Linked DNA regions of Caenorhabditis elegans. The protein of the gene in region 1 purifies or fractionates together with the protein of each later gene. This does not show direct contact. Each region holds a gene or a part of one and is shown on either strand. Other genes may lie near its edges.

The links.
Region 2: the proteins of stn-1 (region 1) and islo-1 purify together in Caenorhabditis elegans (affinity purification with western blotting; one study listed by BioGRID). This does not show direct contact.
Region 3: the proteins of stn-1 (region 1) and snf-6 purify together in Caenorhabditis elegans (affinity purification with western blotting, with the first as the bait; one study listed by BioGRID). This does not show direct contact.

The regions. Positions count from the first base shown.
Region 1 is NC_003279.8:9,498,432-9,506,753, forward strand, and holds stn-1 (Syntrophin-1), read left to right. Parts: upstream 1-2,836; 5' UTR 2,837-2,890; coding exon 2,891-2,986; intron 2,987-4,444; coding exon 4,445-4,566; intron 4,567-5,007; coding exon 5,008-5,923; intron 5,924-5,971; exon of another isoform or gene 5,972-6,034; coding exon 6,035-6,130; exon of another isoform or gene 6,131-6,296; coding exon 6,297-6,389; 3' UTR 6,390-6,400; exon of another isoform or gene 6,401-6,401; coding exon of another isoform or gene 6,402-6,545; intron 6,546-6,576; 3' UTR 6,577-6,727; downstream 6,728-8,322. Other genes in the region: F30A10.9 (PIN domain-containing protein), read right to left, coding at 6,402-6,545, 6,728-6,885, 6,937-7,085, 7,140-7,205, 7,261-7,334; Ubiquitin carboxyl-terminal hydrolase usp-48, read left to right, coding at 8,125-8,306. UniProt on the Caenorhabditis elegans protein: Adapter protein that binds to and probably organizes the subcellular localization of a variety of membrane proteins. May link various receptors to the actin cytoskeleton and the dystrophin glycoprotein complex (DGC).
Region 2 is NC_003282.8:8,133,834-8,140,858, forward strand, and holds islo-1 (Interactor with SLO-1), read left to right. Parts: upstream 1-2,555; 5' UTR 2,556-2,764; coding exon 2,765-2,767; intron 2,768-2,999; coding exon 3,000-3,117; intron 3,118-3,527; coding exon 3,528-3,732; intron 3,733-3,938; coding exon 3,939-4,254; intron 4,255-4,608; coding exon 4,609-4,739; intron 4,740-4,790; coding exon 4,791-5,091; 3' UTR 5,092-5,259; downstream 5,260-7,025. Other genes in the region: isp-1 (Cytochrome b-c1 complex subunit Rieske, mitochondrial), read right to left, coding at 323-397, 1,002-1,078, 1,131-1,386, 1,432-1,493, 1,538-1,681, 1,726-1,843, 1,891-1,947, 2,166-2,207; Mitogen-activated protein kinase pmk-3, read left to right, coding at 6,413-6,664.
Region 3 is NC_003281.10:1,528,955-1,535,988, reverse strand, and holds the start of snf-6 (Sodium-dependent acetylcholine transporter), read left to right. Parts: upstream 1-3,161; 5' UTR 3,162-3,220; coding exon 3,221-3,319; intron 3,320-3,703; coding exon 3,704-3,797; intron 3,798-4,157; coding exon 4,158-4,217; intron 4,218-5,994; coding exon 5,995-6,170; intron 6,171-7,034. Other genes in the region: mtg-1 (CP-type G domain-containing protein), read right to left, coding at 473-644, 1,090-1,167, 1,565-1,686, 1,867-1,988, 2,048-2,096. UniProt on the Caenorhabditis elegans protein: Mediates sodium-dependent uptake of acetylcholine at neuromuscular junctions during periods of increased synaptic activity, may also prevent spillover to adjacent synaptic sites.

The DNA.
Region 1 (8,322 bases):
GAATGGATGCGCCGGAGGACGCCCTAGCAAAGCGTTATTTGATGCAATATTGCGAACAGTTTGAGCGGAAAGATGAAAAACTCAAGTTATCCGACGTCCATGACGAATGGATCCGTTACATCCAAACGCAGCAGCAATCCAAAGTCATCACAGCAACTCCCGCCAGACATCCGAAATTCGAAGTAAACCAAGTTGATGCAGATGACAAGAAGAAGGATTCGAGAAAAGGAAACTACAGATCTCCGTATTGTTACAAGTGTAAAGTAGTCGGGCACGTTTCAAAAGACTGTCCTCAGAGTTCCACCAATTCAGGTGTGACCAATCGTAAGACTGAGCATTCTGAAGTGAATACGCTCGAGGTTGGGTCTGGAAGACAGACATCGCCTAGTCTTCGGTTGAACGTGGAAGGACAACAGATCGATTTCACTTTTGATACAGGCAGTGACATCACCCTTATCAGTGTCCAGAACTGGCAAAAGATCGGGAAACCGCATCTCGAAAAGGTCCACCACAAAATTTGCTGTGCCAATGGTACTGAAATCGCTGTCAAAGGTAGAGTGCTCGTATGGTTCAAAGTCAAAGGTGTCGAATACACTGAGTATGTGTACGTCTGGAACAGAAACAATAATCTGTTAGGCACCAGTTGGATGCGCCACTCGCCTCAAATGCGTGATGCTCTGGCCGTAATGGTTAATCATATATCCACTGTGGATAACTCGAAGCAAAATATGCACTCGTTCTCAAGGATTCCTACTGGATACAAAGATCGTGCTGAAAATGTTGAAAGACATGTTGTTGCATCTGCGCCGCGTAGTAGTAAGCGCCAGTATGTAAGATTTGCGCGCAATAAAGCGTTTCAGATTGGGCAATTGTGCCTTGCTCGGGTTCAAGGAGAGCACAATTTTGGCTGGATTTATGGAGTGGTTCAAAGACAATTGAACGGAGTACTCTATGAAGTACAGTTGGGATCGAGAATTCAAAGAATTCACACGAACCAACTCCGTCACATTTGCGGTCGCCGGAGCCGTGGGAATGACTATGCTTCATCATTCATCGAAAATCCGTGTAAATTGTCGCTCTTGGAAAACATTCCGCGCTCTAGTTGCCGCCAAAAATTTGTCGCTCAAGGTGTCCGTGGGGAGGGGAGGGAAGCTAATCCAGTTTTAGTTTCAGATTCTTCTGTTTTTGGTTTTAGTGCTCCAGATTTGTCAGCTTGTGATTCTGTTGGTTCTCGATCTGCTCGTGAAGTCGTCTCGTCGGTTGCCGGCAATGCTCGAAATGCTACTTGTGCAAATATAACTACGATTCATGTTACGGAGAGCAAGAGTTCGTTGAAGAAAAGCCACAGAAGACGTCGCCGTGTGGCAAAGAGTCGCCAATCATATACTTCTGGAAGTTCGCCAATCAAAGAAACCCATCTGGACCCCCTGCTGGAATCCGATGTTGCGAGTGACGGCGAGCGTTTCCAACCCGGCATCCTCCTGTGTCATTCTCTTCGACAGAGTCACCCACGACAAGTTGTGCGAGGATCAGCCCCAAACACTGATCATGCCTCCACTCGCCGCAGAGGTCGATATACCGCCTCTGGTCGTGATGCCCCTAGCCCAGGCATAATTTCTGGCTTTTTGTCATATAAGAGGGGAGATGTTGTGGACGGAACGTAAACCTGAACTTTATACAGACGTGACCTTTGGGTCATCATGAACTTATCGCGTAAGCGACCTCTCTTTATAATTCATTACTTCTTACACTTTCTTGTAATAAACTACTTCTCTCCTTGTCTCTCGCTCAATACACAACAAAGCTCAACGTCAAAAAATTGAGAAACAATAACTGGTGGAGGGGAGGGAGGGAAAAAGAAATCAGATACGGTCAATGATCTAAATGTTTGAAGAAAGATCAAGGAACAAGATTCTAAAATTATTCAATTTTTTCTCAAGTTTTTCAGAATTGTTTGACACAGAATAGAATAGCTTTTGGAAGAAAAAACATTGATGGATTTTCAGATGGATTTTCTATAGATTTTTAAAGATTGCATTTCTGCTGGGGTACTGTAGTTAGAGAGCTAAAGTATCTAGAGCAGCAATTGAAAATTAAATTTCATCACGAAAAACAGAACACCTAATAGTAATTTCAATTTATTTCGAAAATAGGAATTAAATTGGATAATATTTAACTTTCACTGTATAAAAAAAGTTGTAAAAGGGAATACTTCTGATTAATGTAGTAATTGCAATTGGTTGTAATATATCGTACGACACAGAAAACTACAACTACAACCAAATGAGAAAGAAAATAAAGAAAAGAATAAAGGATCAACTTGCTTCTTCTCTCTTCAACAATACAATTGCATGTGTTCGTCACGTAGTGTGTAAGTGTTCGTCTCGTGGCGGGAAGCCAACGGGATTCTTCGCCCAACACACAATCATAACCGATATAAATTCGAGGCACCAAGCTGAGAGTCAGATGGAAAAAGAAAGAGTGAGATGTAGAGAAAGAAGCGAGACTCGGAGTGCGCGGTAGAGTTCATCAGAGAGCATGTTAGGCAGAAGAGGGAGCAGGAGTGCCGTCGCACTAGCTCTCCGGCTTCATCCGACGGAGAAGAGAGCAGTTGAGAGAAGAAGAAAAACGAGGGGAAATAGAAGAGAGAGGACTCCTCTGCTGCTCCCACAGCCCAAATATTCTATTATTGCCCCTTTTCTTTCTGTTTCTTTGCTTCTTAGCATCTTTCTCTTCTGGTTTTTTTTCTCGCTTTCCTTCATTCCGCTACAAATCCTCCCGAATTTGAATTCAAATTTTTGGCATAAATTGGTATATGCAATATTCAACTTTACAGAGTACAATCGGCTCAATTTCGTAGTATTGCTCCGATTAGATCGGCGTCGTTTCGATGGCCGCCGTTCGATCCGGCCTGGTCGACATTTTTGTTCAGGGACAATGGCATCGTGTATTGGCTACTCTCGATCCAACTGCTATCACATTACAAGTAATTTTTTAATGATAAAATATTCCGAAAACTAGAAAACCACTGGAAATTATTGTAAAACAACTCATTTTTCGCGAAATTCTAAAAATAAATTGGATGGTTTCTAAAAACGAACAAAAATCTATATTTGAAACAATTATTGTTAAATAATTTAAATTTCGGTATAATAAAATATCATTCATTTTTCTAATGTGGAATGATACAAGTTGCTGAAAAATAGTGGTCGTTCTTATTAATACCAAAATGCGAAATTTTGCTATTCAAGACAAAAGAATACGGTACCGTGTCTCAACACGATCGAGCACGGGTTTCTGGCTCGACCCCTCGGTGTATTTTGTGCAAACACCGTCACGCGCAAATGCATACACTTTTTCAACGCGCTGCGTGAAAATTCCTCTTGCGATTTCAAAAAAATTTTCCCGCCATTTCAGCGTCCGATGGAGCGCGGGGTCGAGCCAGAACCTCGTATCGAGCAGTTATAAATAAATTTGTCGGAAAAGAATGTGCGCCTTTATGAAGTACAGTAGGCTCTAATCCTCACTATTTCGCAGACTGTTTCGTTTTAGAAAAAGCAGCTGCTGGAGATTGGGTCTGGAGATTACTGTAGGTTTTAAAGGCGCACACACATTTTTCACACCTTTAATCCTTTAATCTTTTTGTAAGTTTTCAGTCGTGTCGAGACCAGGCACCGTATTCTGGCGTCATAAAACATTTATTTTTTTACGAAATTACGTCGAACATAAGTTTTCTGATGCCCACGAACGAAATATATCATCTGAAGAGATCCATCTATGGAAACCAGAAACGGGAATGGGATCATATTACAAATAGTCTATGCTTCTTCTTCTTCTTTTCCTTTCGCCACATTTTGGCTCATTTTTCAAAAAAGGAGGCGAGTTGGCTATGAAAACTTATTAGTCGTTCTTGCTAGAAGAAAAAAGAAAGAATGGAATGAGGCTACTTAGAGATGAAGTTTGTATATGATACGACTTAAAAGGAGAAAACGGATGGAGAAAGGTATACTGTGACTACAATAATTATCTTCTTGGAGTCTATATGAACTCTTCGTTCCGACATATATTCTCAAGTATTAAAATGTGTATAACTCTTTTGCTTTCTTATCTTTCTCATCTCTGGTATGACAGTCCAACTGAAATTTTGGGAAAAGACAAAGAAAATATACCATTGCTTGTCAAAAAAGAAGTCGTCATGTCATCTACTCCCCCTTCTCCAAGTATTCCGTCAATCGAAGCTCCGGCTTTTGACAAATTGGTATGCCAGCTTGCATGATTTCATTTTACTCAGTCTCCTCCAAAAATTACATTAGCATGTGTGAATTTGTTTGAAATTGTTTAAAATTTGGTCGGGAAACGTGGAAGGGGATATTTATGAGCAAGGGAAGTGAAATCCAAAGAGAAATGGGTTCAAGCTGTGATGAATAAATATACTATTTTTCAGACAATGGAGCAGAATGAGGCTGAAGCAGAGAAACGGACAGTTCGAGTTGTGAAATATGATGGAAATGGATTAGGAATTTCAATTAAGGGAGGCAGAGACAACAACATGCCTATTGTGATCAGGTATGAATGAACTTGCGGAGATTTATACATCTCGTGTGCCATTTCGTGATTTTACGTCAATTTTGAAATTTTGATCTATGATAAATAATTTTTAGTTTTAATGACAAGGGCAATTCTCTAGAGAAAATTTTTATAATAACTGAAAAATGGAAGAATGGACTAGCAAACCTCGTACACAATCGTGTGTCGATTTACTCAGCGTGTGTACTCCCCGTGGAGAAGCATTTAATTTTTTCAGAAGATTTTACAGTTTTCGGTCAAAAACAGAAAGTATTTCCCGAATTATCCAAAATTAGGAATTTAAGGCGATAACTGTGAAATTGTTTGCAAAAATGTACACTTCTCCTCGGGCAGTACACACGATACGTAAATCGACACTTTTTTTTCTGAAATAGAATGTTTAATTTAGCAATTAAAGAACAAAATTAATTTCGATTGTAGCAAAATCTTCAAAGGAATGGCAGCGGATCAGGCTGGAGAACTATTTCTTGATGACGTCATTATCTCTGTGAATGGAGAAAACCTTCTCGATGCTTCACACGAAGAAGCTGTAAGAGCATTGAAACGAGCTGGACGGGTTGTTGACTTGCAAGTACAGTATAGAAGAGAGGATATGATGCATCGGGAAAATATTGTGGAAAATGTTGAATGGGATGATGATATTCGGGAACGAGTTAGAACAATTGGTTTAAAGCTTGCATATGTGGCAAGAGCTGGAATAGATGCAGATGCAGAAGGTAGAATTCTAGAAATGAGAAGTCCATCAGGAAGGTATTCCCTAGCAATGAGATGTTCAAGTAGTGAAGAAGCAGATGGATGGTTTGAAGCTTTACATGCCTGTACCACGTGTCTTCTGACTCAGGCACTGGCTCAAGTCAATATAATGCTCGGTAACAACCCCCAAGTGAGACATATGGGTTGGATTGCAGAACAAGTATCAGAAAATGGAATTTCAATGTGGAAACCTAAATTTATGACGCTTACGAATAGTGAGATCTTGTTCTATGAAGCTGTTCCACAGCTGAAAGCAGAATGGGCAGAGCCAAGACTAGTACGTCCTCTGGTGGCAACAAGAGTCGTTCAGACAAGTTCTCGAACTGCGCCAGTAATTAAAGGTCTCACTGATGTGATCTCTTTCCGTATGAGAACTGGAACTCAACAAGGTGTTCGGACACATACGATCCGGGTAGAAACTCATGCAGAACTGGCACGATGGGTTCGTGCAGTAGTGATCGGTGGATATGAAGCATGTCTTTCTACATCTCAAGTCTCTGCTCCTTGTCTTTGGCGAGGCGAATCATGCGAACTAATAGTTAATCTAGACAATGGAATATCATTACTTTCGTCGACTGGAGAGGTGAGCTCATTGGAATAATTTAGCAATAAGAAAGTGATAAACGTTTTCTAGATTAAAACAAAGATTTATAACATTTAGAGAAGCTACATTTTCTTAAAGCTTACAATTCAGGTACTGTGGCAACATTCGTTTGAAACGATTCGCGCCACCGGCGATGATGGTGGTCGTTTTCTCTGGGTCGATTTTGGACCACCACATGGTGAACAGGTAAAAATGGATTTTATTTTAACCTTAATTTCATACTTATAGAAAAAAAACGGATTTTTTTTGTGTAAAGTTTTTGAATAAAAAAAAGGATAGGCAACAAAACAATAAAAGCAGATCAACAAGTAATATTCAAAACAAAAGAAGCATAAATGAATGAAAAATTTAGGAATTGGATTTGCTAAATTCCGCAAAGCCAGTCGTGTTCATTCTTCATTCATTTCTCGCCACCAAGGTGTATCGATTAGGATTGTACGCGTGAAGCATCAAAAGGTTAGTTCATTGGAGCTCCATATGCATCAGGCATTCGCTCAATGGAGAATCTGTGATTGACAATGTACATGATCGGAACTCCTGGGATCTTTCGGATGCGGCGCTTCAGATCACGATCACAAGTGGCCACAATATAGCATTTATGCTGAAAATTATATTATTTTTTTCATTTTCAGATTCGTTATTTGTTCAAGTTTGCCAAACAAAAAGACTGCAGCAATACCACATTCCGTCTCCTGCCTCTTCTCGTCATAATAGATTTTATTCGTTTAAGATTTGTTAGATTTTATTAAATGAAAAACAATGAAAAATTATGAATAAACGAACCTGTGTAACTCTTTGAACCAAACAATCATCAGCATATGTTCCTTTGTGCTCACACTTCAGTCTCTGCACACGTGGATCTTTCAGAACTTTCAGAGCAATTTTGAATCTTCTCACTTTTTCCAATTCAGCCAATACACAGTCAGTTGCGTACACAATAGCTGAATTATTGTGATAAAATACAAGAAAACGAAAGAAAGTGTATGACTCACTTTTCGCGAACAGACAATCCATGAATCCTTGAAACATGTCAATGCGATTTTTGACGGCGAAATTCACAAAATTGGTATCGACAATAACGTGAAATGGTGGACCCAGCTGTGTATTGTATTTCATAAACATAGCGGATGAGATTTTTGGACTGAAATTATGAATTATTATTGTCTGGACACATATTCGTACGAATAAAACTTACGCACGGACCAATTTGAGTTCTTGTTCATCTACTTTCGGTGTTCTAATGACTCTTTGTTCTTCTTTTCTGAAATATTGCGTTTTAAATCAAGGTTATTCGATAAAATTATCGTTATCCTTACATTCTGTTGTCTGTCTTTTTGACAAGCTTGTTTACAGCGCTTTTTCTGGCGTTGGACTTCAAGCGTTTACCCATTTTCTGTAAATTAGAACATATATTTGTAAATTAGCACATATATTATCGAAGAAATTTGGAAAAAACGAAGAAAATCTTTAAAATAAGAATCTCGAACAAAATATCGAGACCCGAAGAACTCGGGGGATGTCCAATTGGGGGGATTACCAACTCGGGGGATTGGCCCCGCCCACAGAACCGTGGCTTGCAATACGCCCATTTCTGCAACTGCCGCACGGTTTTGAAACTGTATTTTTCTTGTTAATTCTCGCTCTATTGAGAAAAATACAGTTTCGAAACCGTGCGGCAGTTGCAGAAATGGGCGTATTGCAAGCCACGGTTCTGTGGGCGGGGCCAATCCCCCGAGTTGGTAATCCCCCCAATTGGACATCCCCAGAGTTCTTCGGGTCTCAAAATATCAGAAAAAATTTTTGCGAAAAAGTCCGCAGAGTTGGTGCTCCGTGTATGCACCAGTCAATGCATTTAATCTGACGCACAAACCAGCATTTCAAGAAATTGCATTCAATGTGCATCGCATATTCAAATTTCTGTCAGCTATTTATGTTTTTATTTTATTGCCCCGTTTCTTTTCTCCGCGGACTATTGATTATTGACGATGTGGAATAATTCATACACGAACTTTTAAATCTTAACGCCAAGAAAAAGTGCAAGAATTCAGTTTAAAATTTGAATAAAAAGTAAAATAATATTTTCGCGTTGTCATGTTTTCAAAGTCTGCTTTTATTTTTATTCTTAACGAGAACACTTCCTTTAATAAAGGAATGTCTAAAAAGATTTTCAATTTCAGAAAATGACAAAGGAGACTGACAAAAAGCCAAAAGAACGTCCGAATCAAAGAAAAGTTGCATTTCGAAATGAAGCAATAAATGCATTAGTAAATACAGATGAGGACCAAGTCACATTTTCGAAAGCAATGGAAGTTGCCAAATTAGATTGTCAAAAGTGTCTTCTACACGATATGCATAGTTCAAAGTAAGCATTTTTATTA
Region 2 (7,025 bases), on another chromosome or scaffold:
CATGACTGTTCTATTTGCCAAGTGGGTTATTTGTATTGGTTATGCTCCGCCTCATCTAGAGAACCTCTTAAATTACGTTTATTCATTCTGCAATGAATTTCGAACAGGAGTGCATTCGGGATCCTAGAAAAAATGGATAAAAACGGGGAAATAATAAAAACAGGCAAACACTAAATAGGACGAAAAATAAACTTTATCTGCCAAGAATACGACGTAGAAAGAAGGGAACAACTACTTTCACAGGAGAAAACCACACATTCGATTAGGAGACGCGAGTTTTCAAAGTGGGGACGGGGAAACTTTTGCAAAAAAATCTGAATATTTAGCTCGATCCAATGACGATGGTGGCATCCTTGAACGAGTATGCTGGTACGTGAAGATTCAATGGAGCTGGTCCCTGGAAAAAATGAAGATTTTGAAAAAAAGATCACCTTTACATTTTTGTGAATTTTATCAACGTTAGGGTGACTTGAAAACATTTTTAATGTCAAATTTAGAAATATAAACACTTTTTTCCGCTATTGAAGTTTTAACTTTTTTTAAATTTTCAACATTCTGAGAGCTTAATTTATGATAAAGATTTTCACGTAAATAATTAGGAATTCAAAAAAGAATTGTCTAATTACTTTTCCTACGTTCGGAAAAAAACTGATTTTCATCAAAAAAAGCGAACTTATTTACTACTCTTTTATTCCGTTTTTTTTAATAAAAAAAAAGAAACTGTAAAAACTAGGTATTTATTTAAAATTATCAAAAGCTTTACTAAGAAATACCAAAATTTACCGTAATAACGGTTAGGATAGGACTGAACTTTCGTTCGTTCCAGAAGATATCTTCTTGTTTTTGTTTAAATTATCTCTCTTTTTATAAAATTTTAAGAGAAAATTACAATTTATCATTAATTATATCAAATCGCGAACTTTTCTTCAATAAATTATGAAAAAAAATTATAAAATTTGAATTTTTCAGATTGTACTACATTTAGCAAATAAATGTCTTACCTTTCTAATACGTCCAGAAGCGTCGTAGTGAGATCCGTGACAAGGGCAGTAATAACCTCCGTAATCTCCAGCATCGGCTGAAAATTCAAAATATGATTTCAAAAATTCAGGAGAAAAAAGACTGCATACCAATTGGGACACATCCAAGATGGGTGCACACTCCAATGACAACGGACCATTCATCTTTCTGCACACGTTCGTCGTCATGTTGTGGATGACGGAGATCGGCGACAGGGACGGCCTTTTCCTTGGCAATCTCAGCCTTGGTACGATGTTTGACGAAGACTGGCTTTCCACGCCATTCGAATGTCTTTGTTTTTCCTTCTGGAATATCAGCCATGTTGATTTCGATCGAAGCCAAGGCACGTTGATCAGCTGCCATAGCCTGGAAAAATTAATTTAAAAACGGTGTAATGGAAATTCAACATACTTTGTAAGAAACAAGAGTCTGTACAACTTCCTTTCCGGCCCACAAAGATAGAACTCCTCCAGCTGTAATAAAACAATGTTTAGACCGAATAAAAAATAATTCGAACCTCCATAATACAGAGCAGTTGGAAGAGCACGACGTTGATCCTCGGTGTCACGGGCTGGCACTTGAGTGTTCTTTGTAGAATCACGACGATAGTTTGACATATCGGGGAATGTCACATCAGTGTGAGCCAAACGGCGAGAGGTGACTTAAAAATTAATGAATTAATATATTAAATTCAATTTCAAATACCATTGATTCCCTTGACAGCAAGTCCATTGGTGAAGACACCTCCGGTGCTGTGACTAACAGCGGCTTGACGAGCTTCAGCCGTGGAGAACTCAGCTGGAACATCGCGGAAAGCAGCGACCTGGATACTAGACAATAAAATAATATTCTGCAACTTTAAATACTTACATTATCGGCGGCTGGTGTTGCGGCAACAAAGTTTACATGTTGCTGGGATCCGCTGATCTGAAAGAAAACTATTTATAAACTATTGGACAAAATTTTAGAACTGTAATCGATATCTTAATCATTTCGACACCGTCCAGTGTTTTGGAACGAGAATAGTTTAAACAAATACATTTTAAACAAAATTTTCGAACGCGTTTCTCGCAAAATATGATTATTTCTCGAATTGAATAGATTATTGGAGTGTTTTTCTTCATATTTGTTCAAAAAATACTTACCACTTTGACTGCAAAACCTCCAGATCTAGCAAGAGAAGCCATTGCCCCAGTTGATGCCTAAAATAATTATTTTAAATATTTTTAAGTTTTTGAAAAAAATAAAACAATTTTTAAAATATGAGAACGGCTAAATTAACAGATCAAGGCAATGAACAACTGAATAAAACGTTTTCAAATTGATGAATTTTGCCGAAATTTGGAATTTTAAAGAATTAAAAGCTGAAAAAAGGCTAAAATTGGGACAAACTCAACGGGCGGACTGTCTGTATGAAGAGACACAGAGAAATTTTCGGCACGCGTCGCCCTCCGCATCGTTGTCAATAGGGCGAACATGCATAGAGACTTTTCCGTGTGCTCAGACGAGAGATTCCTTCTCGTTTGTAATAATCGTTGACAGCAGCATCTCAATTTCAAAATAATGACGCGGGTACGGGTACTAGAGGCCGTTTTGCCCGCACAACACTCGGCGACAAGATATCCGCCACCAGCTGTGAATCGGATGAAAAATACAGAAAGTCGTCCAGCTTTTATTTTTATTCCTGCTCAATAATACAATTTATATTCAGTTCTAGATTTTCTTATTCAAATAATTATTCAAGATGGTAAGTGTTTGATAAAAGATGATCCACACGATGAGGAAATCCACGAAAACATCTGTTGCCACAACCAACACTCCAGTTGACACACCAAACTATTTAGAAAAATAAATTGAGAGAAAAGATGTGGCTGTTTGATACTGCTCTGCGGCACGAGCTCAAAGAGTTGTAATCAAGGTCCAATCGAGTCGTGCCGAAAAGTTTAGCCTTTCCTTCTTCCGGACCTGATTGGTTTCAGATGGGAAGTAAAAGAGGACGCGGCGCGGCACCGTCGAATCAAGAGCGCGTCCGCACACATTTATTCTTCGGATCCAAAGCTGAACGACCACATCAAAAGCGGAAGCGGAGAGCTCAGAGTGGGTTTTTGTGTGGAAATTTGCTTTAAAAAAAGGATATTACGTAGACGTCTAAAGATGATGATTTTTCCTATATTTTACACACAAAGGTCTTGCCACGAAGACGAATTACTGTAATATGGTATCGATTAACAGGTCGTTGAAAATCTTCGGACATCTTACAAAATTTTTAAAAATTACAATTAAAATAAAATTCAAAGAATATGGTACAAGCGGCCCATAAATCGATACCAGCTACAGTAATTATAACCATCAAAGCAATACTGAGAAGTAGTAATTTAAATTGACTTTATGGGTCTCACCACGATGTACTGAATGTAGCACAGAATATAGAGTTGTTGTATTAAATATAAGGGGTTTTCATGTCAATTTGATTCTAAAAACTCATAAATATTTTCGAAATATTAAAGACAAGCTTCACGTAACTGCAAAGGATAAGAAAGACGAAATGGTTCAAGCTGGTGCAAGTGAGATTGATCCTCAACAATGGACTGGAAATCAAAGAGTTCTTCATTTTGGACCAATGGCTCAACGTGATCCATATTTCTATTATTATCCAAAAGGATGGGATATATTGTATCCAGCAACATTTGGATTTTTTCCATATAGAACATCGTTAGTTTTTTGATAATTGAAACTGTAAGCTGGAAATATGAGGGTTGAATAGCTCAACTAAATAACTCGTAGATTATAATTTAATGGAGTATGTCCTAATACATCATATTCAACGCGAAAATTCAACAGAGACGCAGAAAATATACATCAAGTTACTTTATCAAAAATTTAAAAAAAAACCCTGAAAAAAGCATTATTTTTTAAAGAAAATTTCGTGGCTCGTCATCATTGATTTGTTGTACAGCATTCGGCGTTTTTCTCCTAATTGGAGGACTACTAATGTCACTTCTTGGATATAAATACCTTTATACTTCACCATTCTGGACTTGGCCATACGAACAAAGAATACGACCACCACCAATTCAAATTGCGGGTCCTATTTTATTTGGACTCGGATGTTCGTTTTTGATAATTTCATTAATCTACTTTTTATGCACAACAAAGCTCTGTGATCTCTCGTTACACCACACAAAGAAGCACAATGATCCTGCTAGGCTTACGACTATTACAACACATTATGTGGTAAGTCTTTTTGATTAATTGAAAATTCAAATTCAATTAGAAACCCACATGTCCTTGTAAAAGTTGCGACTACACCTTTGAAAATTTCATGAAAGTAATATAAACAATTAAAGCTAACAAATTAACGTCTAAACAAACTCAAAATGATCGTACCATAATTTAAAAAAAACTATTAAAACATTTTAGATTTCTGAAAATGGCATAGTTTTGGTAAATTGCCAAATTAACCGAAACAGCAATGTGTTTGAAACCTTACAAGGCTTAGATACAGTTCACTAGAACGAAGAATGTAGGTAATAATGCGTATCAATTCAAAATCAAAATGTACCCATTTTAGTTGTTACACGTTTACAGCCGCTACCTCCGATCTTTGAGAAAGATCCATATCAACCTCTACCTCCACCTGCGTACCCAGTTCTTGAGAATCGACACGCAATGTCTAATGTAGTTAAGCCACACGATGAAAAGAAACTGTATCCACCAGTGTAAGAACTTCATTCAAACCGGAACAAGATTCTGTAAATCTATAATTTCAGAATTCCTGGATGTTCCACACTTTCCCTTCATAGACGATCTCCGAATAACATTTTTGTAGCAAGTCCATATAATACCCTAAGAGCTACAAGCGTTGGAAGATATCAATCTGGATTCCTTGACACGAATTCAATAATGGAAAATCGGTTAGGATCAAGGCAGCCGTCAGTTGCAAGTAGAAGACAATCAAGTGAAGCTTCAAGTCAAAAAAGATCCAAATCAATGGGACCTTTACATCGAACTAACTCCAATCGAAGCAAAGGATCAGGAAGATCAAGAAGGAGAGAAAATAGTCAAATATAGACATTGTTTTATGATGTTAACCAGATTTATATTGTTTTTTTTTAATTTCAAAATTCTGTATCCACAAAGATCAACCGAAAAGGAGATGAATAATTTGTAGATATTTTAAAATATTTATCTACAATAATATTTTCCATCAACCAAATAAAAAATTCGACCTTCGCCCTTTGTATGTCTTCCTCTCGTTTCCCATTTTTCACTGCGTCTCAATCGCTGCTGACTCATATCTGATTGACCTCACTGTTTCTTCCAATTTCCTTGGTCACTGATAATTATACTTCCGTCTTTTTTCAGTTTTCTCCAGTATTTTTATCATAACATATACTCAAAATCAATCAATACAGGAACGTCTAGTCTACAACTTTATTATAATAACAGGTGAGATATTTTGTTTTTGGTAAACTTCATAATAGTGGAGCGCTGAACAAAAGACGAATTTTCTGATAATTTAAAATTGAAATGAAATATATTATTTACCCTTTATAATTAACTTTGTTTGAACCTAAATATTGCTCATATTCGAACAAACACTGTACACTTTTTTACGAAATTCAAAGAGACGCTACTCAGTAAATAAACAAGAAAATATAAAACAAACTGTAGTGCTCATCTCAATTTAACTGAGCTCACAAGTATTTCACCGATTTTATTAATTACAATTGATTGAGCACCCGAATCTTTTACATAATTTCATGGTAGTTTTGCACCTTTTTTGCATAATTCCTCTTATGGGTCTCGCCATCAGAAAAAGTTCTGAGAATTTTTTATGATCCCTCCATTCCACAATTAATGAAAAAATATTTTGAAAATTTCACAAAAATAGACAAAAACGAATAACATTTAAATCTGACTCTTTGAGACCCAATTCAAAAATATCCATGTGTCTTTAAGTACGCGTTACAAAAATTGCGAGAGAACAATTACTAACAGTTCAAATGTAAATAGATATTGTTAGTAATTGCCAAAACTATGGGAAATTCTTCTATTTAATCTTCATTGATTGAGTTGATTTTTTTGTTGATAAATTCAAAATTCCTAATATTTTCTAAAATATCGAATTTCCTAAAGTTATAGTGAATCCGAAAACCTCCAAAAGAAAACAAAGTAGTGACCATAAACAATAAAAAAATCATTGTTTCACAATTTTTACACTTCACTCCGCAAAAATATAGGTCGCTTGAGTGTTCGAGTTTACATGGCGTGTTTCGCAATAAAACTTTCATTTTGAAATCCCCGACACTCCTCTAATTTCCCCCGACAACGCTTTTCGTTATTGATTTTTTCACTTCAAGCCCTAACTTGAACCCATTTAAATTTACAGATGGCGTCAGTCCCATCGTCATCTAGTCTCCCAGTGTCGCATGTCCGTCGTCATGAAGACGTGTCAACACCAAGTGCACCACCAACCAAACGAAGTAATAATCAATCTCAACCTCCAGAAAGCTACGAACCCAACACCTGGTTGCAACAACAACGAGAGCAGGAACAACAGAAAAAGTTAGCTGCAGAGAATATTAAGAAGCAGAGTATCGAAGCAACGGGAAACAACGAGATGGTTGGGGAGGAGGAAGAGGTGAGGGAGAAAGATTTTAGATTTCGTAAGTTGACGAAAGTCAATCCGCGCGTTTTGTTGATATGCGGAGAATCATAAAAATGATAAAGGTAAAGCTTCAGTATGACTTTAATCTAAGAAATCGACCTTAATACTCTAAAAAGGATGGAAATAAAACATTCCATAATTAATTTTTTTATAATTGTCAAAGTTTCAAAACTAGCTTAATATTTGTAGAATTGACTAGAATTGACATTTTCAGAAGAATCTAACCCCGCGCACGCATAGCTCATTTTTTGAGAAGTTTTTTCTACAAAAATTGCAACACAAAATTATTGCGCCGTCTTATTTCCAAATGATAAAATTGGCACGTGTACTAGAG
Region 3 (7,034 bases), on another chromosome or scaffold:
TAGAAAAATGACACTTTTCGCACTGGAGCGCACTTGCAACATGTGGTCGGCGGGACTTTGAATTTTCAGACGATTTTTGTCAATTTTAAGGGGTTTTTAGACGAATTTTCAGTGCAAAATTTGAAATTTAGGTTAAAGTTCGAATAATTGCAAAAAAAAACCGAAAAAAACGATTTTTTAAGTAAAAATCCATGTTTTCAAAGTTGGTGGCCTAGAAAACCAAAACTCGGCCACCAACTTCTCCTCATTGAATTACTGACGTCACCAGCTTCAAAATGAGCCCCAACATGCCCAGGTTCCGTTGATTTTGAACTTTGGAAGTTTTCGACACAGATGAAACCGGTGCTACAGTAACCCGCGTGGCGAGACCCAAAAATTTTCAAAATGCGCGGAACCAGGGCATGTTGGGGGTCATTTGAAAGCTGGAGACGTGGGCGATTCGAATTTTCGGGTCTTGAAGCGATTTTCTCACAGCTTTACGCTTAATTCCGAGCGTATGTGTTCGAATCGCGTTGATTAGGGATGATTTTCCGACATTCGGGATTCCGACGACCATTGCCTGATATTCTGTTTTGACGGTTCGATTGAAACGTGGCGTATTCTCCAAAGCGTCTAACATTGACAGCTTCACATCGTTCAGAGCTCTTGAAATTTGCAGTTTAGTAGGGAAATTTCGGCATTTTCCAGCAATTTTCTGCATTTTTCAGAATTTTTCAGAATTTTTATGCATTTTTCTGAATTTTTATGCATTTTTCAGAATTTTTCAGAATTTTTATGCATTTTTCTGAATTTTTATGCATTTTTCTGAATTTTTATGTATTTTTCTGAATTTTTATGCATTTTTCTGAATTTTTATGTATTTTTCTGAATTTTTATGTATTTTTCTGAATTTTTATGTATTTTTCTGAATTTTTATGTATTTTTCTGAATTTTTATGCATTTTTATGCTTTTTTCAGATTTTTTCAGAATTTTTATGCATTTTTCTGAATTTTTATGCATTTTTCAGAATTTTTATGCATTTTTCTGAATTTTTATGCATTTTTCAGAATTTTTATGCATTTTTCTGAATTTTTCAGCTCCAAAATCACCTTGGAAGCCGTTTTTTGCAGTCTGTGAATAAAACTTTTTGAACGCCCCGCTCGTAGTAATAATCCTCGATTTGGTGCCTGAAAATGGGGAATTTTTGAGAAAATTTCGGATTTTACAGCGTTTTTTCCGAAAAAAAGGTAAAAAGAATCGATTTTTCTTCATTTTTTATAAAAATCCGGTCGAATTTCACCCAGAAATCGTTAAAAAAGTGCAAAAAATCGCGCTAAAATAGCCAAAAATTCGAATTTCCCGCCACTAGTCCACTGGAGCGCACTTGCACTGCGCGGTCGGCGGGAATTCAAATTTTTAGGTGATTAAAGTGGATTTTTGTCGGAAAATCGCAATTTTTGACTAAATTCGTTGAGAAAAAGCCGAATTTCGTCGAAAAAATCCAAAATTTTTCGGAGAAATTCTGAAAATCTTGATTTTTCAAGCGTTTTTTCCGGATTTTTTCGAATTTTTCCGGGTTCTCACTTGTATTTCTTCATATCTATCAAGTCACACTTGTTCAGGACGAGAATATGCGGTCGAATAGCGTATAAATGTCGAAAAAACTGCTGATTTCGGCCGGTAATCGGGATTCTGGCGTCGTGGACCTGGAAAAAATGTCGATTTTTGCAATATTTCCCGATTTTTCAACTTTTATAGGCGGAAAAATTCACTAAAATTCTTACACCAGTTTTTTACACCAGTTTTTCGGTTTTTCAGCGTTTTTCCGGTGATTTTACAGATTTTCCAAAAAAAAAATCGTAAAAGTTCCATTTTCCATGCAAAACCTCAATTATCAAGTCGACGGATCGCAATTTCGCTTCCATTTTTTTCAATTGTACGGACATATGCATTGGAAACCACTGCCGATAGTCATATTGCGCGGGAAGTTCGAATTGTTGGCGAAATTCTGAAAAGAATTGCGATTTCCGCGCGGAAAACTGAGTAAATAATGGGGTTTTCGGGTACCTGGAGTGGAAATTCGATATGTTGTGTGCAGAAATCGACGAAAATTCATATTTTTTAACTGGAATTTGAAAAAAAATTGAGAAAAAATTGTGAAAACAATTTTTTCCTGTAAAAAATCAAAAAATAACCTGAAATTGCATGATTCGTACTCTGCGTCTCTGCTCTCTCATGCGTAGCAATGGAGCGCAATTGCAGAGTCAATTTTTAATAACTTTGGAAAATCCTAATTTTCACCATTTTTAAGGGATTTTTTACAATTGAAAATGCGAAAAACAAACAGAAAATGTTTTTAGCCGCATTTTGACACCAAAAACTACACAAATTACTCCCCAGAGAAATATAGATTTTTCGAGAAAAACTTGATTTCAAGAAAAACTGTGATTTTTGGAGTCTTCGTGATTTTTAGAGTTTTTCTAGTGGATTTTCGGTTTGCACCGGTATTAGTTTTAAAATGTTGGTATTCTCCTGAAAAATTCAAAAAAAAACTAACAATTTCCGGTGTTTTCTGGTATTTTCTCTGTAAAAATGGTTTTTTTTTGTTTAAATCTTATTTCTTTCATAATAAATGCTTTATTCAACCAACAAAGATGCTTCCAAACCCAATTTAATTTATTTCATCAGAATTTCCATTTCAAACACCCGCCAACAAGCGATTTCTCAATGGAGCGCGTTTGCATTGGCAACCTGGAACATTTTTATTTTCCAGAGCGGTTTTTCGTGAAAAACGTAAATTTTTCATTAAAATTTTCGATTTTTATAATTAAAATTGAATTCTGGAAGTGAGTTGCAGCATTTTGACCCCAAAAATCTAAAATTTGACCCGAAAATTATTGATTTTCAGCTAAAAACTCATTAAAACCGATTTATAGCCAATTTTTTCCTGAAATAAACTAATTTTTCCCACATTTTCCCACAATTTCTCACTTTTTCATTCGTTTTCCCCGGCTTTTCACGTATGTTTTCAATTCGGGCGAGCCAACTGCTTCCGAAATTTGTGTAACAACGGGCCGCCGCGTCGCCTCGTTTCTCTTTCGTTTTTACTCTAAAATTCGTATTTTTCTTCGCAATCTCTTGCTAAATAGCTCAAAAAATCGTGAAAATTGCTAATTTTCAGGTTTTAAACCGACGAAAAATCGATTTTTCCAAGAAAAACCGAGTTTTTCCACACCGAAAATGTCGGTTTCGAGCAACGATCCGGAGCAGAGGAATGGACGGGGCATGGCAAGCGGAAACAACGTGGATATGAGCCTATATCCTCCGTTTATTAAGCAGGTTTGTGGAAAAATTCGGAAAATTCGAGAAAAACGGATAATTTTGACGTTTTTCCCGAAAAATTTGGATGATTATCGATTTTTTGTGAAAAATTCCAAAAAAACCACAAAATTTGATGAAAATTTCCACTAATTTTTGTCCTAAAACCAATAAAATCATTGAATTTGCTGAAAAATTGCCGAAAAAATAAATAAAATCAAATTCCCCGCCACTAGTCCGCTGGAGCGCACTTGCTCCACGCGGTCGGCGGGAATTCAAATTTCCGTTTGATCTACGGCGGGAAACGACCAATTCCCGCCATTTTGTTAAAGATTTCAGCGAGAATTTTGAGTTTTTAGGGAAAAAACTGATTTTTTCGCAAAAAAAACCCTGAAATTTTTCAAGCTCGACGCAAAATTGCCCGATTACACACGAGAAGGTGACATCGAATATCCATTCGAAGAGATTACGGGTGTCGGAGACGAAAATAGGATACGAGGTGCGACAAAAATCCACGTTTTTCGATTTGGTGGCCTTCAAATCCAAAACTCGGCCACCAAACTGTTTTCATTGAATTCGCCACGTCAGCAGCTTTTGAATGACCCCCAACATGACCAGAATACGTTGATTTTGAGCTTTTGTAGTTTCGACACAGCTGAAACCGGTGCTACAGTACCCCGCGTGGCGAGACCCGAATTTTTCAAATTGCACGGAAACAGGGCATGATGGGGGTCATTTTGAAGCTGGAGACGTGAAAAACACGAATTTGTGTGAAAAAATCCATAAAAACCAAAATTTTTATTGAAAAATGCTAAAATACCAACAAAAAAAATTTTTGTGAAAAAAAAAATTTTTTCAGGAAATTGGAGTAACAAGTCGGATTATCTGCTAGCAGTAATTGGTTTCACAGCGGGAGTTGGTAAGAAAGCGAGAAATTTGAATTCCCGCCAAACCGCTAAACAACACGCGTTGGTGTACTAGCGGAGTGTCGTTGTTTTTCTTGTAAAAACGTTGATTTTCTGGGGGCTTTTTGAAGTTTTTTCGCATCAAATTGATGAAAATAGCAATTTTTAACTGCTTTTTCATGGAAAAAACCAATAATTTTCCCTAATTTTTAGGCCAGAAATCCGGAATTTTTACGATTTTTCGGCGAAAACAGGGGCCAAAGTCCACGATATCAGCAGATAATAATCTGACCATACGAAATGAGTACGTGCGAGAAATTGATAAGATTATAAATTGATAAGAGAGTGTGTGTGTTCTAAAGTTCTAACATCTCTTGTTTTGGGGGATTTTTTTTTGGTGAAACATTGGATATTTTTGGGATTTTCAGTGGAAAAATGGATAAAATATCGATTTTTCTGCAAAAAAAACTCGAAATTTCAATTTTTCAACGCATTTTTCACGTTGAAACCAGACAAAATCAGTGAAAAAATCGAATTTTCAGTAATTTCTCAATAGAGCGCACTTGCTTTATTTTTTCCAAAAAAATTAACTTTTCTATTGATTTTTTATAGTTTTTTCTTCTAAAAACGAATTTCAACACCAAAATTTTGGAAAAAAAAGTTTAAATTGTCATTTATTGGGTCTAAATGATTTGAAAAGCGAAAATCTCACATTTCTAGTAATTTTTTTCAAATTTTCAGTTGGAAATTGAGTTTTCCACTCATTTTTACCCTAAATTGGTTTTTTTTCGAACAAAATAGATTGATGGCCTAACTTTCGGGGGTTCTAGGCCACCAATCTGAAAATGATGGTTCCTAGCCATGTTTATCGATTTTTTTTTTGGAGTTTTTGGTTCAAATAATGAAAATAAAAACATTTTTAACTGGAAAATCACAAAAATTTCGGTTTAAATCCCTAAAATCTTCTAAAAATCGATATTTTCGTGACTTATGTGCTTCTACTCGTATTGATGACATAAAAACTGTATTTATTCACATTTTCAGCCTTAAATTGGCTGAAAATGTGAATAAATACCGTATTTCTGCCAACAATTTGACAATAGAGCACATTTGTCACTCGGAGATGCGGAAGCTATGCCCAAATTTTCTATTTTCCCGAAAACTCGTGTTTTTCATTTTTTTTTTTCCAGTGATTTTCACAGTTTTTCATTACGAAATTCGGCTTCTCCATCAATTTTCACCCCCGTAACCCGATTTTCAGCCAATTTGGACTAATTGTCGTAAGGTTCGGTGCCTAGCAGGTGTTTGCGTACTTTTGGGGCTACCGTACTCCTCGAAATTCAAATTTCAAACTGGCTTTTGGGAAAAAAGTCCAATAGCGGCAAAATAAACCGGAGAATTCGAACTTCAATGTGAAAATTCCTGAAATTTCCTGGAAAGTTCGAAAAAAAAACGTTTTTATCAACAAAAAATTAAAATTTCCAACTTTCAATATATTTTTCCAGCATTTTCATGCGAAAATTCAAATTCCCCGCAAATTTTCACCCCGGTGACTGTTTTTTCAGCCAAATTGTGCGAAATTTCGCAAAATTCGGTGTTTGCGTACTTTCGAAGCTACCGTACCCCCCTCGAAATTCAAATTTTTTCAATTAGGAATTTTTTTTTGTAAGATTTTAACGAAAAATTTGAATTTCCCAGTGAAAAATCGCGAAAATTTCTGGAAAATCTTGAAAAGAAATTTTTTTTTTTGGAAAATTTTTAATTTTTTTACAATTTTCTCTTCCTTTGCAGGAAGTTTCTGGAAATTCCCATTTCTAGTATTCCAACATGGCGGTGCAGCATTCCTTGTACCATATTTATGTATGTTATGCCTCGCCTCACTACCAATGTTCTTTATGGAAATGGTACTTGGACAGTTCTCCTCGTCGGCTGCGATTAGTGTTTGGAAGGTGGTTCCGTTGTTTAAGGTGAGAAATTTTGGCGGGTTTTAAGTGGGAAATTTGAATTTTTTGGGTGGAAATTATCCGGAAGCTCTGCAAATTGTGAAAAGTTTGAATTCGAAGAGAAAAAAAAATGTTTTTTCGCCAAAAAAAATATTTATTTGAAAATTTGCACTCTCCTCAGCAATCCTCACTATTAAATCTTCTAGATTTGAAAAAAAAATAAAAAGGAAATTTTATATCCCAAAATTACATGAACATTCTCTTTCAGAGTGACTTTTGTGCTCCTACGCAGATTTCTGGCATAAAAACTGTATTTATTCACATTTTCAGTCATAAATTGGGCTGAAAATTTGAATAAATATCGTATTTCTGCCAACAATTTGACAATAGAGCACATTTGTCACTCGGAGATGCGGAAGCTATGCCCAAATTTTTATTTTTCCCGGAAAAACATTGGATTTTCAGCATTTTCCGGCTAATTTCACAGATTTTCACTGCAAAATTCGACTTCTCCATCACTTTTTACCTCGGGAACCCGGTTCTCAGCCAATTTGGACTAACTGTCGTAAAATTCGATGCCAGTAGTACGCAAGCCTCGGTGTTTGCGTACTCTTGGGGCTACCGTACCCCTCAAAATTCAAAATTTGAGTTAGACGTCCGCAAAAAGGTTGATTAGGGGTAAAATTAGACGGGGAATTCGAATTTCAGTGTGAAATTCGCCGGAAAATCCTGGGAAATTTTGAGAAAACAGTTTTCATTTAAAAAAAACTCAAAATTTCCAAATTTTAAAATGTTTTTCCCCAACAATTTTCATGCCAAAATTCGAATTTCCTACGCAATTTTCACACCGGCAACCGCTTTCTCAGCCAATTTACGCAAATTGTCGTA